Linked DNA regions of Astyanax mexicanus. Each later gene encodes a partner of the first gene's protein in a complex. Links are inferred from orthologs where the notes say so. Each region holds a gene or a part of one and is shown on either strand. Other genes may lie near its edges.

The links.
Region 2: nme5 (region 1) and ropn1l share a complex: the UniProt entries of both Homo sapiens proteins name them as parts of the axonemal radial spoke complex. The link is inferred for Astyanax mexicanus from reciprocal best matches to the Homo sapiens genes NME5 and ROPN1L.

Annotation. Positions count from the first base shown.
Region 1 is NC_064417.1:28,157,632-28,165,132, forward strand, and holds the start of nme5 (nucleoside diphosphate kinase homolog 5), read right to left. Parts: upstream 3,021-7,501; 5' UTR 2,754-3,020; coding exon 2,619-2,753; intron 1,226-2,618; coding exon 1,020-1,225; intron 1-1,019. Other genes in the region: rack1 (guanine nucleotide-binding protein subunit beta-2-like 1), read right to left, coding at 4,164-4,229, 4,531-4,641, 5,088-5,228, 6,356-6,466, 6,716-6,811, 6,982-7,129. UniProt on the Homo sapiens protein: Functions as part of axonemal radial spoke complexes that play an important part in the motility of sperm and cilia. Does not seem to have nucleoside diphosphate kinase (NDPK) activity.
Region 2 is NC_064408.1:99,302,928-99,311,163, forward strand, and holds the start of ropn1l (ropporin-1-like protein), read right to left. Parts: upstream 3,059-8,236; 5' UTR 2,885-3,058; intron 2,793-2,884; 5' UTR 2,741-2,792; coding exon 2,713-2,740; intron 1,551-2,712; coding exon 1,400-1,550; intron 360-1,399; coding exon 236-359; intron 119-235; coding exon 1-118. Other genes in the region: ndufb4 (NADH dehydrogenase [ubiquinone] 1 beta subcomplex subunit 4), read left to right, coding at 5,270-5,446, 7,718-7,861. UniProt on the Homo sapiens protein: Functions as part of axonemal radial spoke complexes that play an important part in the motility of sperm and cilia. Important for male fertility.

The DNA.
Region 1 (7,501 bases):
GTCGTTTGCAGACTGAGATGGCTGGGTAAAGATGTGAATGGTGGGGGGGGGGGGGGTCAGTGGTTTGACCTTTCAAATTTGATGGGGTTAAAAACCTCCATGGGGTTATTGTTTTGGGCCAGTGGCTGAGAACTCTGTATATCTACTTTGATTGCTAGCCGGGGGGGGGGGGGGGGGGGATGGGGGGGGATAGGGGGGATAGGGGGGATGTACAAGGATCATAAATTATTTAACCCACCCACTCAAGCCACTGAGCAGAGTAGGACACTGTTCTGTCCAAACCATCACAGGGCACCTAACCTGTAGTAAGATTATATACCATACGAACCTCACTGTTCTTTCTGCAAACTATGTGGGACCATGTGTTTTACTCAACTTTTCATCTGTACTTACGTGATGAGACAATAAACCTTATTTGATTTAAAATGCATTATAAGACACTTGCATAGGCACTTTACCTGCCATCATGTTTATAGGTTACTGACCAAACTTTCTCTATACATACAATACAAATGATATTACTCTATTAACCCCACTGGGATTAATAAAGAAAAAAAGAAAGTCAGCTCGTCAGTTAGTCAGCCTATCTATCCAACTGCGGTGTATCCTAATTTTTAGGTCTGTGTCAGACAATAAGGATTTAAATCTAATAAATACTATTGTATTAAATTAAAAGAGAGGAATGAATCCCTATGGGATATATGGGGCATACCGGCATGTCATGCAATGCCCTATTTTTACTCTTTTGAATTCCTTATAGTACATTTTTGTGTTGCTTAGTGCTATATTTTAAGGGATTAGGATTTTATCTAACGTATTTCTTTTTGTAGTGAAATTTAAATGATAAGGTGTGCAATTGATAATTACAGTAATATTAGCCATGGACATCCATGTTATTACTACTGCTACTAGTAATGATAATAATAATTATAAATATGCAAACTTTTTTTTTTTGCATGCTGTTTTAAATAATCCAGTAGTGCTTGAATCTGAACACATTATCAATCACATTTAATTACCAGTCAGGGTGTGTATCTTTGGCTTTGGAACTGTTGGCTGGTCCCATCAAGTCTTTCCAGGTGGAAATGGCCTGGTGCCTGGCCAGTGCGAGGGCGATGACTGGGCCAGAGCTCATGAAAGCTGTCAGACTGGGAAAAAACAGCTTTCCGTAGTGCTCAGCATAGAAATCGCTGCACTGCTCCGGACTTAACTGAAGCCTCTTTTTCTGTTTTATAACATAAAAAAATAATGAACAGCTGAGCTCTAGTTTAAGAATAATTCCACATATTTTCCTACTGTGCCCTTTCAACTACATAAAACCAAATATCAACCTTTCTCAATTTATATATATATGTAAACATTTTATTTATTATAATTTATTATTTATACATTATTACATTAACATTACTTTATCATTTAAGAAGGTACAGTTTTAACTAGTAAAGATTCCATAGATATCAGTGGTAACACGTGACTTGTGTAGATCTGTAGTTCTATTAACTTTTTAGTTGGATTTGCCCATTGTGGATGGTGTCACTGCTCCCCCAACACCCATCCTACCCAGGGCAAAAAAAACATAAACTTTCTATGTAATTTTATGTACTTTTATGTAACTTTCTATGTGTTTTACATTTTTAACATTTTAAAGATATGGCCAATCAGATAATTATAAATGAACATAGCTGAAAAATATGTATTGAATATATTTAACCCTTTTTCTGTGGCCCCTTAGCACCCCATTGTGGCCCCCAGTCTGAGAACTTCTGATCTAGATAATATACAGCTCTGAAAAAAAAAGAGACCACTTCAATTTCTGCACCAGTTTCTCTGTTTTTGCTATTTATGGGTAGATGTTTGAGTAAAATGAACATTGTTATTTTCTTCTATAAACTACGGACAAAATTTCTCCCAAATTCCAAATAAAAACATTGTCATTTATTTGCAGAAAATGAGAAATGGTTGAAATAACAAAAGAAATGAAGAGCTTTCAGACCTCAAATAATGCAAATAAAACAAGTTCATATTTATTAAGTTTTAAGAGATCAGAAATCAGCATTTGGTGGAACAACCCTGGTTATTAATCACAGTTTTCATGTATCTCGGCATGTCCAGCTTGGTTTGATGTAATCTTCTTCTAGATTATTTTCCAGAGGTTTAAAATTTGGTAAAATCAAAGAAACTTTTAAGTGATCTCTTTTTTTCAGAGCTGTATCTGTCTAGCATCATTCATTTTACTTCAGTCCTGGATATATGGAGATATATGGAGTGCATTATTAGTATCATGACATTCTGGATCACTGACTTCTGTTACAAATCTAATATTCTTGAATTTTATGAATCATATCGTATGCTATAATATAATTTTTATTTTCTTTTTGTGGGTTCTTGAATGTTTAAATTCAGTGTTTTGTCATATCACCAAGAGTGATATCGTGAAAATGCCATAAAATACTGCGATATTATTTTATTTTATCTTGGACTACATATTGTGAATGTTGAGTTTGTACTGAAATATTAGGTTATCTATCTTTATTCAGACTAGGCTTAATTTCGTAACTATTAGTTTGTTCAGTTAACTGGTTAACGTTACTAAGGCTAGGTTATGTAAAGTTTAATACCTGTAAAATCGTGAAGCCGGACTGTAGAATTATGTTCTCGATTTCTTCTGCTTTATCTACAGAGTCCGGTTTAATCAGAGCCAGAGTTCTCTCCAGGAAAAGGCGCTTCTGAGGTAAACTCCGCTCGTCTGCCATAACTCACTCAGCTTTTACAATAAACTACGCCAGCTAACCTAATACAGCTCACTGCTACACTTTAAACTACAGCGAAAACATCCAGTTCAAACCAAACAAAACTTCAGTCCAGATATAAAACCACCATTTAACTGTTTTCTAGACGCCGTTACTTTTTATATCACAATAAATCGTTAATATTGAAATAAAGTCTCAGTATTAAAAGCTAAGCTACGCTATGCTCAGCTAACTAGCGCCAGAGGACTGTTGCTGTGTGGTTGCTTGGTTACCACATGCACGTGACCGCCTTAAACGCCTTTAAACTGAAAAAAGAAAAATATATATAAAATGTAATATTTACTAATAATTATCATACAACATTTAACCACGTTCAGCGTCAGTATAATAAAAACGTTCTAAACGTTTATTTAAAAAAAATAAGGGCCTTTAATGTTGTTGGTTTGCACAATGCTAACCCCAACACAGGAGCAGCAGTTAGTTTTAACTAGTGATTTTATTCCATTTTTAAAACTAAATGCACATATAACTCTTCCCAATATACTCCAATCATTTAAAGACCGTTTATTATTAAAAATAAACAAATTAAAAATATAATTACCAATTACACATGCCTTTTGTCTACCTTTATAACCTATAAATATTTGGCAGGACAATGTTAATAACTGTGCAAAAGTACATTAAAAACAGGAATACTGTGTAATCAACTGGTAAGATGCAAATACGTTTTGCTCACAAACTATTTATTCATATACTAACTTTATTTAGGAATGCACACCGAGTAATACCAGTATTGACAGACAAATCCTTTAATTATTTATTCAGCCAACCTTTCAAAGAGTTGACATTTATTGTATGCCTGAAAAGGATCAGCTCATTTTTTATGAGCTTTAATAGATGTTTATTTAAAAAAAAGAAGGAAAAAAAAAAAAAGAAGTTGTACTTCATAAATTCAGCCTTATGAATTATAGCTGAAAGTCAGTGAAATCAGTAGTTTAATTTCAAATCCGGTGTAGTGGCAGGCAGAGCCTAAACCACTAGGATTGTGTCACTTTCCAAATATTTCAGGACCTACTGGTATCTCTTTGTATCATCTTTTTCAAGAGTTCCTAAACTAATCATTTTCTCGTAGTCATTTAAACATTATCAAAGCTTTACATTTTTTACATTCTGAAAGTAGTCTTTACAAACCAGGTAATAATAAGTAAACAAATCACTTCTGTAAGTCACTCTGGCTAAGAGTTTGCTAAAATACCTTAAATGTAAAATGTCAGCTTTGAAACAACACTGTAAATATACCTGGATAGATAAACTGAAATGGCATCCCAGTCAGTTACATGCAGTGTAGAAAAAGAAAGACAATGACTGAAAGAACTGTGATATATTTATTTAATTGTAAACATTACAAAAAGCCTATCGAGTTCCAATGGTAACCTGCCACACTCTGATCAGGTTGTCAGTGTAGCCAGCAAAGAGAGTCTGTGAAGAGAATGAAAAACAGCAATTTAAACCAGCTGTTTTAATGAACAAAAAAAGGAAATATTAAGGCTTTATTTATACATAATGGAAATATATAAAGAGGTAAAAAAAAATATCCAGACATATGTGGATGGGCCTAATTTAACCCAAACCCCTCATAATTGCAGGACTGTCACCATGCGGTTTCAGATAGTATATGGTTTGATAATCACAGGGGTTTGTCCGGTAAGGCCCTTTTAGTGTTTATTACCCAAAAAACCTAAATATGCATTTTTATAAAAGAATAATAGGTTAAGCTTACTTGTCCATCAGCAGACCAGGCCAAAGCAGTGCATTGAGGGGGCTCGGCCTTGCTGTTTGTGCTGATGACCTCCTGTCTCAGCTCATCAACAATAATTTTACCCTCAAGGTCCTGAAGTGACAAGAGAAAAAAATGCATATGGTCAGTACTGCCCTTATGGATATTAAGAAGTCTTGGAAAAAATCTAAAAAAAGCATACAACATTGTTTTTTAGACAGTTCTCAGAAACAGCCTCTTTTATCATCACAGGACAGCAGAAGGCATTAAAAGGTTCGTCACTGAACTCATCTTATAGTCTCACAAAACAGGCCACCCAAAAGTTGAATGTCAGGATAATTACAATATCAGCTTTTACAGGGTCAACATGTACTAAGTGGCTATTTATTTATTTATTATTATATCAGTGTCATTGTCTTTACATTTCTTTAAAATTGTCTTTAAATGGCAATAAATATTGTTTATCGCAGTTACTTCTGGGAGAGTATATCAACCAAATATTTTGTGACGGATCTATGTCTTGGTATGTTAAGAATGAAAAGAACTGGAGTAGTACTCACCCAGATTTTGATGCTAGGGCCTGTAGCAGCACACAGCCAGTAGCGGTTAGGGCTGAAGCACAGGGCGTTAATCATGTCCCCACCGTCCAGGGTGTACAGGTGCTTTCCCTCATTCAGATCCCACAGCATAGCTTGCCCGTCCTACAACACAAGCAAGAACAAAACACCCACATTTGAGGAGCTGTGGCACAATTCTTACACACACTCAATCAGAAATTAATATAATGTTCAGAAACAGCCTCTTTATCATCACAGAGAGACAGATGGCATTAAAGTTTCATCACCACATTAGAGCTAAGAACTGCAGCTGAAACAACCATTTGTTGGAGATGCTGAACCCATTAGAGCCTCGTATGGAAGCCTACAGCTTTTATTAATGCAAGCGCGTTATTATACTCTAATATTTACCATGTGATATGTCTACCACAGGCAGACTAAGCTTAAAGGAGAACGCCAGTGTTAAATTTACTTTTGGCACCGTTAGCCAACACCACTACACTGATTGACTACTTTGATATGGCGGTGCCTAGAGATCAGGCTACACTACAGGTTGTAAACAGTGGGTTTTAATAAGCCTTTTGTGCACTTTTAAAAGTTACTAATGCCACATTTTAAATGTCAGGGCTCTGTGTGGAGCTACTCTGAGCCTGGATGATGGCGTAAAAAGCGATATCAGGGGCAAGTGCATGTCCTGAATTGGCCATTGTAAAGAGTGCTGGCTGGATCTCGGAAAGCTGCAGGAGAGCGGAGGTAAGCTATTTAACAAAAAGGTTAGTACTCATTTCATGTTTTACTACCCCAAAATCCATTTTACACCGGAGTTGTAAGCTATTTTTTTTTTTAACCCAATTTTACATTTACCCAAATATTACATATGCATCAATTATTTGGCAATTGAAATTAGGTAAAAGGCACAACTAATTTATACCAAGCAATGATGTTTTCTTTGAGAAGCCAGGCAGAAATACATTCAGGCTATTAAAATAATGAAGTGGTTGAAAAAGTGGCAAATTAATAAAACAAAATGATTGCAGGCACATTTTCACATGCCTTCAACTGTGCACTGGTTCCCCATCCTTTAATTTACTTCACATTTTTACTTTACAAATCTCATAATTTGCTATATTCATTATGAATAGTTTTGCCTCCCTATGTTAGTTATTTAAAAAAAGGTTCAGTTCTATACTTATTGCTGATATGTTTGTACTGAATAAAACTTGCAATAGTCAATAGTAAAAGATAACCTTTAGGGCAAGGCAAAGTCATACCTTTCCTCCAGAGGCACAGAGAGAACCATCAGGAGACACAGTGACTGTATTTAGGTATCCTGTGTGGCCAATGTGGTTCGTCTTTAGCTTACAGTTAGCAAGATTCCACACCTGTCAAAAAAGCAAATGCATACATTTTGAGCACTCCGAACCACTATTGGTATAATATGCTCCCACAAATAGACAAAAACACATTACCATTAATCTTCATGCTAAAAATCTTTACCCATCATAATTGCAGGACTTGTCGCCAGAGCCCAAGAGCTCAGATAATGTATGTAGATTTGTAATCATCGGGTAAGGTACAGTAAAGCAGAATCTATTAAGTCTTGAGTTGGGATGAGTGCAATCAAGCCGTACCTTGACCATCTTGTCCCAGCCACAAGACACAATGATGGGGTTGCTGCTGTTTGGGGAGAAACGCACGCAGGACACCCATTCTGAGTGGCTTTCGTCCTGTAGGAGAGAATAAAGGAGATTCAGAACAAAATATATGGACAATATGGAGTATATGGACAAGACAACCATAAACATGGCATAATTGTGCTGGACACAGATAGAATTTGGCCTCTGCCTTTAACCAATCAATGCAGTGCACGCACGCGCCAAGGTATCAACACACTGACCTGGATGGTGTATTTGCACACTCCCAGGGTGTTCCACAACTTGATGGTCTTATCCCTCGACCCAGAAACGATCTGTCTGTTGTCGGCAGAGAACGCTACACTCAGAACATCTTTGGTGTGTCCAACAAAGCGACGGGTTGTGGTGCCACTAGAAGAACAAGGGGTAGAACTCAATAAGACAATTATGCCAGCTATACAAAATTGTGTTTAATATTAGACTGTACAAAAAAGAAAGACCTGTTTCAGTCATGTAAACTCTAGGGCTTATTTAAGCAAAATGAAATGAGTAAAATTATTTTATATTGGTGGTTAAATAGGATACAAAGCCCAACCCAGCAAAGGATTGTGGACCTAATTACTTTACTGACTTGTTAAACAATTAATGCACTTATTTTTTAGAATGAGTGTATGGCTTCATATGTATAAAATTTAGTTTATCTTTTAAAAATACACATTCCAACTCCTGTATAATTTGAATGTTTGGATATTTAAATTATACTTACATTTTTGTATGATTATG
Region 2 (8,236 bases), on another chromosome or scaffold:
CAATTTGTTCATCAAAGTTGCCAAGGTCAAGGAGTGTATTGAGCTGTTCAACCGGCAAGCACAAGCCTTTCCACTTCTTCAGCAACTCCTCTTTCATAACAGGTTCTTTTGGTGAAAGCTGTGATTATAAAAAGAAAACAGCGTCAGAATATGTTCAGTTATATTCATTCAAAATGTTACATAACCAAACATTTTTATCACTAATAAAAGAGCTAGCTAGGCTTATGTCACGAACCTGCTTGTGAAGGACCTTGAGCAGGCCTGGAGTAAGCCCAGTGTCTGTCTTTTGTGTTGCTACTGGCATTTCTAGCCTGTCCTTGACTGGCAGAGTTTCACCTTTTGAAAGTGCTGAAAAATATCTTAAGAGGAAATTATGCATTTTAAAAGAAAAACTTAAATAACTGTGGATTACATTTCAAACGTAAGTCTCTTATTAGTGACGTAAGTGACTCATATTTAATGTGCTCTACCTGTGTATGAGCTGTCTTTTGAAAACTTTTCAACATTAGTAATCCTACTCTATTCCTCAAAACTTTTGAAATGTATAGCTCATAACCTTTTAAAGATGATGTGCCAAAAATGACCTCCCTTAAAGCCACAGTATGTGAGAATTGTTTTTTTTGTTTGTTTGTTTGTTTGTTTTTTTCGCTTGTAGGCTACCCCTGCAATTGGCAAGTGGAATTTACACTTTGAGACACCCTTCATTTTATGCTTACATTCAATTTGGGGATTCTGTGATACAGAACCATTATTAAAAGTAAAATAATCATGTGAACAGACACACTTGAGCAGGCTAATATTGCTGGATGTTACACACTTATCATTCAGGTTGCACAGTTCTTGCAGTTTTTTCTACTTTTCCTGCCCACTTCAAAAGAGATACACAGTGCAGTGAGCAGCACACTGAGCCTGGAGTAGCCAGAATACAGACACATTCTCTCTTACATGTCAGTGGAGCTTTACAGATTTTGAAGCTCTTTTTAAGGTAAAAATGCTAAATATGGTTGCTTTAATCCTTTATCATTGAATATGCTTTTGGTTGTTACTGCCCTGTAGTAGTTGTTACTGCCCTGTAATGGTTGTTACTGCCCTGTAGTGGTTGTTACTGCCCTGTAGTGGTTGCCCTGTATTGGGTGTCATTCAATAAGCAGTCCGAGCTGAAACACATTTTAAGGCTTCAGGGTGAATGGGCATGACTAAATTGTTTCAGGCTAAAACTTGTAAGATTTTAAGCGCCGCAGCTATCAGAGCATTGATCCCATGATTGTTCTTGGCTGAAGACGAGAGCTGAAATTGGCCAAATTGGAGAGACAATTTCAACAAACAAAAACAAAGATACAATCACAGTACATGTCATGCAATGTGTTTTTTCACAATCTAGCAAAGTGTACCAACTTACGTGGCAGCCCACTGCAGTACATCAGGTGGCTGTGTTCTAATAGCAGCTTTAGTAAACTGTTTCAAGATATCAGGCAGCTCTGGGGGAATGTTGATCTGCTGGGAGCAGTACATCGTATCTGGAGGAGGCATGTCTCCTGTTAAGAAGTGATCTAGTGAAAACCCAAAAAAGATTAAAGGAAAGTAAAATGTTAGAGAATAAGTTACATTTCAGACAAGCACAACATATCTACTGTAATTTAACTGTAAATCATTGATTTAATGTCTGTCTATTTGCTTATTTAGCTGACTACAAACTACATCCCATAAAATCCATAATCCATAAAATGCCTTTATTTTTTATTATGAAGATGTTTTCTATAAAAAAAGAAACTGATAAGAGCATACTCTGAGCATACTCGGACTTTTATTGTAATCTTGGTGATGCGAGCAGAGAATCTCCAGAGAGCAGATTGCACACTTAAACCTGGAGTCTCTGCTCTGGGTTTGTTAGACCACCGGAGGGCGTCTGATTTTTTATACTGAAAATTAGATTAATTTACTGAAGAAAAAGCAATTTCAATTTTAAATGATAGACCAACAGAAAGTAGAATACAATTGTGAATTGGAATGAAAATGATAAATAAGTTTTAAAGTTTTTATATAATAATAATAATAATAATAATAATAATAATAATAATAATAATAATAATAATAATAATAATAATAATAATAATAATAATGGACACCTCATTTAATGTATTATCTTTTTTTATTTTTATTTTACACTCCAACTGTAATATTGTAGACCATAAAATGATACAGGAACACATGCAGATTTATTCTGAAAACTAAAAACGGTAAAACAAATCATAATATGTTACTTTAGATTAATATAAGCATTCACATTTATCTTTGAGGACAGATCTGCACACTCTTGGTATTTTAATCTTAGTGTCTTCATGAGGGAGAGTCTTTTGGAATAGTTTTCTCAGTGTCTTGAAGGAGTTCCTGGAGGTGCTGAACAATAGTTGCTGCTTTTTATTCACACAGTGAAGCTCCAGCTCATCCCAAATCACCTCAAATCACCATCTCAGTTGGAATGTTTTTTTGTTTACTATGTAATTCTATATATGATTGTGTCCCTTACTCATGTGTTTAATATTAATCTACAAAGTAAAAAAAATAAATAAATAAATAAATAAATAAAGAAAAACATTAAATGAGAATGTGTGTCCAAACTTTTGACTGGTGCTACAGATATACAGGATAGTTTAACGTTATATAGGTTCATAAATTAGCTACAACTGTTGCCTATTAATATAATGTAGCTACCCTTTAATCTAGAGCAAACAACAGTCATCAAGTGTTCAGCCTGACTGTGATGAATTACTCGGCCTGGTTAATCAAGTTTTCTATAAGAACAGAATAAAAATGACCAGTGAGAGACTTAAGCTCAGCTCTTTAAACTCTATTAATCCTCTATAAACACCTTGTAACAACTCACCGGACTCACAATAACACACGGGCTTCCTTCAGCGGACAAAAGAGAGGTTCACTATTAATTTAGATGAAATAAAACATCCTTTAAAACAAAGCTAAACTAGTAAACTAACAGTGAGCTATACTAGCTGTCACCATCCTGAGACCCCCTGCTTTCCCAGCGGCGCACTGTTTGTGTATAGCGCGTTACCTAGCAACACGTTATTGGGTGACTAGAGTGCCCCCTAGAGGGCTCATTTAACATTATGTATAACACTATAAATACAGCTCTGGAAAAATGAGACCACTTTAAAATATTAGAACATTTTTTCATTTAGAGCATTTATTTGCAGAAAATGAGACATGATCAAAGCAATGAAATAGATGCAGTGCTTTAAGACCTCAAATAATGTACAGAACATACATAAAACATAGATATAACATAGATGTAAAATAAAATAAAATATAGAATGAACCAATAATGTTCATTTTACTTATATCATTTTGTAGTGATCTCTCTTTTTTTTTTTGTAGTGGTCTCACTTTTTTCCAGAGATGTTCGGATGCCCAAGTTCAAATTACATATATGGTGAACATTCTAAGTAAATGTAAGTAAATAAATCCTGTATATAAACAGCCTTTAAAAAGAAATAAGATAAAGCAAAATTTTTATTTATTTAAAATTTTTAAGCAACGCATTGTATGTGCATGCACTATTACAATAAATGTGGCACATGTCACATGTGTTTTTTTTTTTTGTTTTTTTTTGGTGTTTTTGTTTTTTTAATCCAATATGTTAAATTAGACTTCCTCTCCCTAAAAATCCCGAGTCGAGTCATTTTACAAGCAGGAATGATGGCCACTCGTTTTTCTTTAGTTAGCTGATTGGTTCTTGCCGTAATATGAATTGTACTAGTTTTCCAATAGGGCTGACGGCTGTGTAGTAACCTGACTTCTGCACAACACAACTGATGGTCCCAACCCCATTAATAAATCAAGAAATTCCACAAATTAACCACGATAAGGCACACCTGAAAACCATTTTAAGTGACCACCTCTTGAAGCTCATTGAGAGAATGCCAAGAGTGTGCAAAGCAGTAATCAGAGCAAAGGGTGGCTGGTTTGAAGAACGCGCTCAAGTTATTTACTCACCTGTTCACCTGTACTTGTGTGATGTATTTATTTATTTTATTGTATTAGTCTGCTTTATATGATTTTGGTGTTGTGGTTTTTACTTTTATGTTTTTTAATTATGAAGATGTTTTCTATCAAAAGAAAAACTGATAAGAGCATACTCTGAGCATAATCGGACTTTTATTGGAATCTGGGTGATGCGAGCAGAGAATCCCCAGAGAGCAGATTGCACACTTAAACCTGGAGTCTCTGCTCTGGGTTTGTTAGACCACCGGAGGGCGTCTATACTGATTTTTTTATACTGAACATTTAATTCATTTATTGAAAACAGAGGAATATCAACTGTTTCTGTACTAAAGATATCGGTTTAAACATTTTAAACTTTAGGTTTAAGCCTTTTAAAAGTGATGTGGCTGTAACTTCAGCATCAGTTTATTCACCAATCAATCAGCTTACAGTAGCAGTAATGCTAGTGTCCGTGTTGCCCAAAAATCGTTTGATGTGGAAGATTAGAAAAATGCAGATGCGATTTCTTTGCTTTGTTAGAGAAATATTCTTATTTACTTTCTTAAATGAAAGAATATCCTGGATGAGTAGTAGGAAACTATTTTTAATTTGAGTTTTTATCCGTTTAGCTCCATTCACCCCATGCATTACGGTCTTACTCGCGGGCTCCCTCTAGTGTTTCTCACCTGTTTTCTAATACAGCTCTGGAAAAATAAGAGACCACTTAAAATGATGGGTTTCTTTTTTAAGAAACTGAAAACCTCTGGAATATAATCAAGAGGAAAATGGATAATCACAAGCCATCAAACTAAGCTAAACTACTTGTTTTTTTGCACTAGGAGTATAACATTATTTAGTTGAAGCGTGTAAGACTGGTGGAGGAGAACATGTCAAGATGCATGCAAACTGTGATTAAAAACCAGGGTTATTCCACCAAATATTGATTTCTGAACTCGTAAAACTTTATTATTATGAACTTGTTTTCTTTGCATTATCTGAGGTCTGAAAGCTCTGCATTTTTTTGTTATTTCAGCCATTTCTTATTTTCTGCAAATAAATGCTCTATCTAATATTTTTATTTGGAATTTGGGAGAAATGTTGTCCGTAAAACAACAGTGTTCATTTTACTCAAATATATACCTGTAAATAGCAAAATCAGAGAAACTGATTCAGAAACTGAAGTGCTCTTAATTTTTCCAGAGCTGTATTATATTGTGTGAGTGTGCAGCAGGTAAATCAGTCCGGGTCAGCTCGCTGGTCGTCTGCAGACATGGCGGACTATAAAGAGGCACCTTTGGCTTCCCGGCCAAAAACGTTGGATCCAGCGGAGTATTTCAATCTTTCTCCGGAATACCGCAGAGCTGAGGAGGAGCGGGCTGCGATCAGAGCCCGGCTGAAGCGGCAGTACCAGATGCAGCTCAACAACCCGCTCAGAAAAGAGCTGATTGTAAGACTTTCCGCCGCTCACCTAGATTAGCTTAGCTAACGTTTACTGGGTTATGTTAGCTTAGCTGTATAACTGTATGAAGCCTGTTAGTGTGTGTATAATGGTATAATATGTGTTCAGGCGGTGTCTACAGTCAATCTGTCCTTTAATTGTATCTAGATTACAGTTTTGAACAGCTTATTTCATGTCCTGATATTTAACAGGTGTTTATTAAAACAGTGACCTTGGTGTATGGTAGAGTAGCTTAGCTACCCTATGCTAATGTTTGCGGTCTGATTAGCTAGCTAGCTAGCTAACCTAACTGAAGACTTTAAACGTCAATAAACGCGTAGAATAAAGTCCTAACGTAACACAGCCTCGCCATCTAACTTGTCTAACTAAGCTCTGGCAGTTTTACTGGTTGTTTCTGTGCCGCTGGTCTATCGGTCGTTGACAGGTGGCGTCACGACGAGCTTCTATTTGTGTTTAGTGCCTTAATGCAGTCAGCCTTGTTCTACCTTATTTTAGATCACTCTCCTACAGAGCCAATAAAGGGACGTGGTGTATTTTATTTACGTTAAGTGGTAAGCACTACATACTAAGTGTAGTGAACCCCTGAAGGGACATGGTGAATTAAAAAAAAGAAAAAAGAAGTATTGGGCACCACATACTAGAGGTGGGCGATACTGGGAATTTTGATATCGATCCGATACCAAGTTAATGCAGGGCCAGTATTGCCGATATTGATACCGATTCCTTTTAATATTTTCAACTTTATAGATTCAAAGGATCCAAAAGACCTAGGATAAAATTTCGCCAAACATTGTGCATGACAACGAAATACTTTACCACAATCAACATTTTTGTTTCGAAACAGTGGCACAGTAAGTTTGCCTTAACATTAGGAAAATAAATATTTTTGAGGTAGAAAAGGAGCAACCACTATACAAAAAAAATTCTCACCTCACTAGACATCTTTTCTAGTTCTTTCTTTATTTGTTTCTTTTTTTTTAAATAGAATTGTTCTTAGGAAAAACAATAAAAAACATAAGTAATTTTTTTACTTTCAGTGCAATTCTATTTTTTCTTAAATAAACAGAGTGTATTATATTTAATAAAATATCCAAAAAAAAAAAGAATACTTAGGTGGTGTCTCTCTCCATACATGTTGGCTGTTTGGCTGGCTCCGCTGAGCCACGTGCAACAACAAAAGACCAGAGTCGGGTTTGGGGGTGCAGCGCTACTCTTACAGACAGTAGACTTTGATGAATCTGTGTGCGCAACAGTTGGTGCGTACAGGAAAGAAAAAAAGCTTGAGTATCGATCTTTTTACACGAGTATTGCTCAATACCAATACCAGCATTTATATCGATATTATCGATCTACCACATACTAAGAGGTGAACCTCTGAAGGGACATTGTGTATACTAAGGGGGTGTTCTGAAGACTTTAATAAGCGCGTAGAATAAAGTCATAACCTAACACGATCAGCACAGGGCGTCTGTGAGCTGATGTATCGAAACCGAGTCGCTGTGCTTTTCTCTGAGCGAGCTGTGATGCTACTCGACAATGCTGCATCAACAGCAGTTCTAAAAGAGACTAAGTCTGACTTCATGTGTATCAGAGGAGGCATGTGCTAGTCTTCTCCATCCTTGTATTGTGGCATCACCCTTGATGTGGGGGTATATTCAGCTGACTAGCAGTTGAATATGTGGGATATTTGGCTCTAGCTTAATAGGAAGAAAATTGGGGAAAATTAGACATACATTTAAAATAATACTAATAATAATAATAATGTGGTTTCTGTAAAACTGAATACAGGAATTAGACCTTCCATGATTTTATAAGTAAACTCTTGGTTGAACAGGAGAAAAATTAAATACAGGTAAAGCCTTCTGTGCTAAGTAAAAATTTCTATATGTTTCTGTAAATGATGTTTCTCTAAAACCTCTGTCTTACATAAAGTTATTACACCAGATGATTATAAATATCCTGCCTGATGCCCGAGACACAGTTTTACTACAGTTCTAATAAGATTTTGGGTCTAAAAACTGTTCTTAAAATATAATTAAAATAAGGGAAAAATACATGCCGGACTTTGTACAAGTAATAATCCCCGTTATATTTATTTGTTCAGGCCTGTCTACTCGTATCCAGATATTTTTAATGAACTAGAGATTATAAAAGCATGTTTGTTTCTACCACATTCACTACCTTAAACATGACTCTGAATACCTGATGCAGACTGTTCACTGGTCAGTGTTAATGTGTGCTGTGGTTTTGTGCTTGTAGGAGGATCCAGCTCTGACCCGGTGGACGTACGCTCGAGTCCACGTCTTACCCAACTTCAAAGCAACACCAAAGACCTCACTGCTTGGCGGCCTGTTTGGAGTGTTCCCACTGTTCGCCCTGTACTTTTTGTTTAGCTCTGACCGGGTAAGTTGTTAATGACTGCTGGAGATAAATGTTTGATCTTGGCATTTATCAACAACACGGGTTTCATGAAGTATACTCAACTGTTTTTTGTGACCTTTTTCTATATTGTTATGGAAACTGTTTGTAGCACAAAGGTATTTAGTTTGTGATTCCTGATAGTAGGTGTGGGTGATAAAAAGTAATATCATGTAATGACATCCTTTATAATATGAAAAAAAAACACTGAAAAATATTGCATTTGTTTCATAAAGCTGCAAAGCAGCAAAATAAATTTGAATGTTATAACAGTTTAAAACATTCAATAGAAATGATCTAAATCTATGATCATGATCAGAATAGTGATAAAATAACAAACAAATGTAATTTTGTAAACAT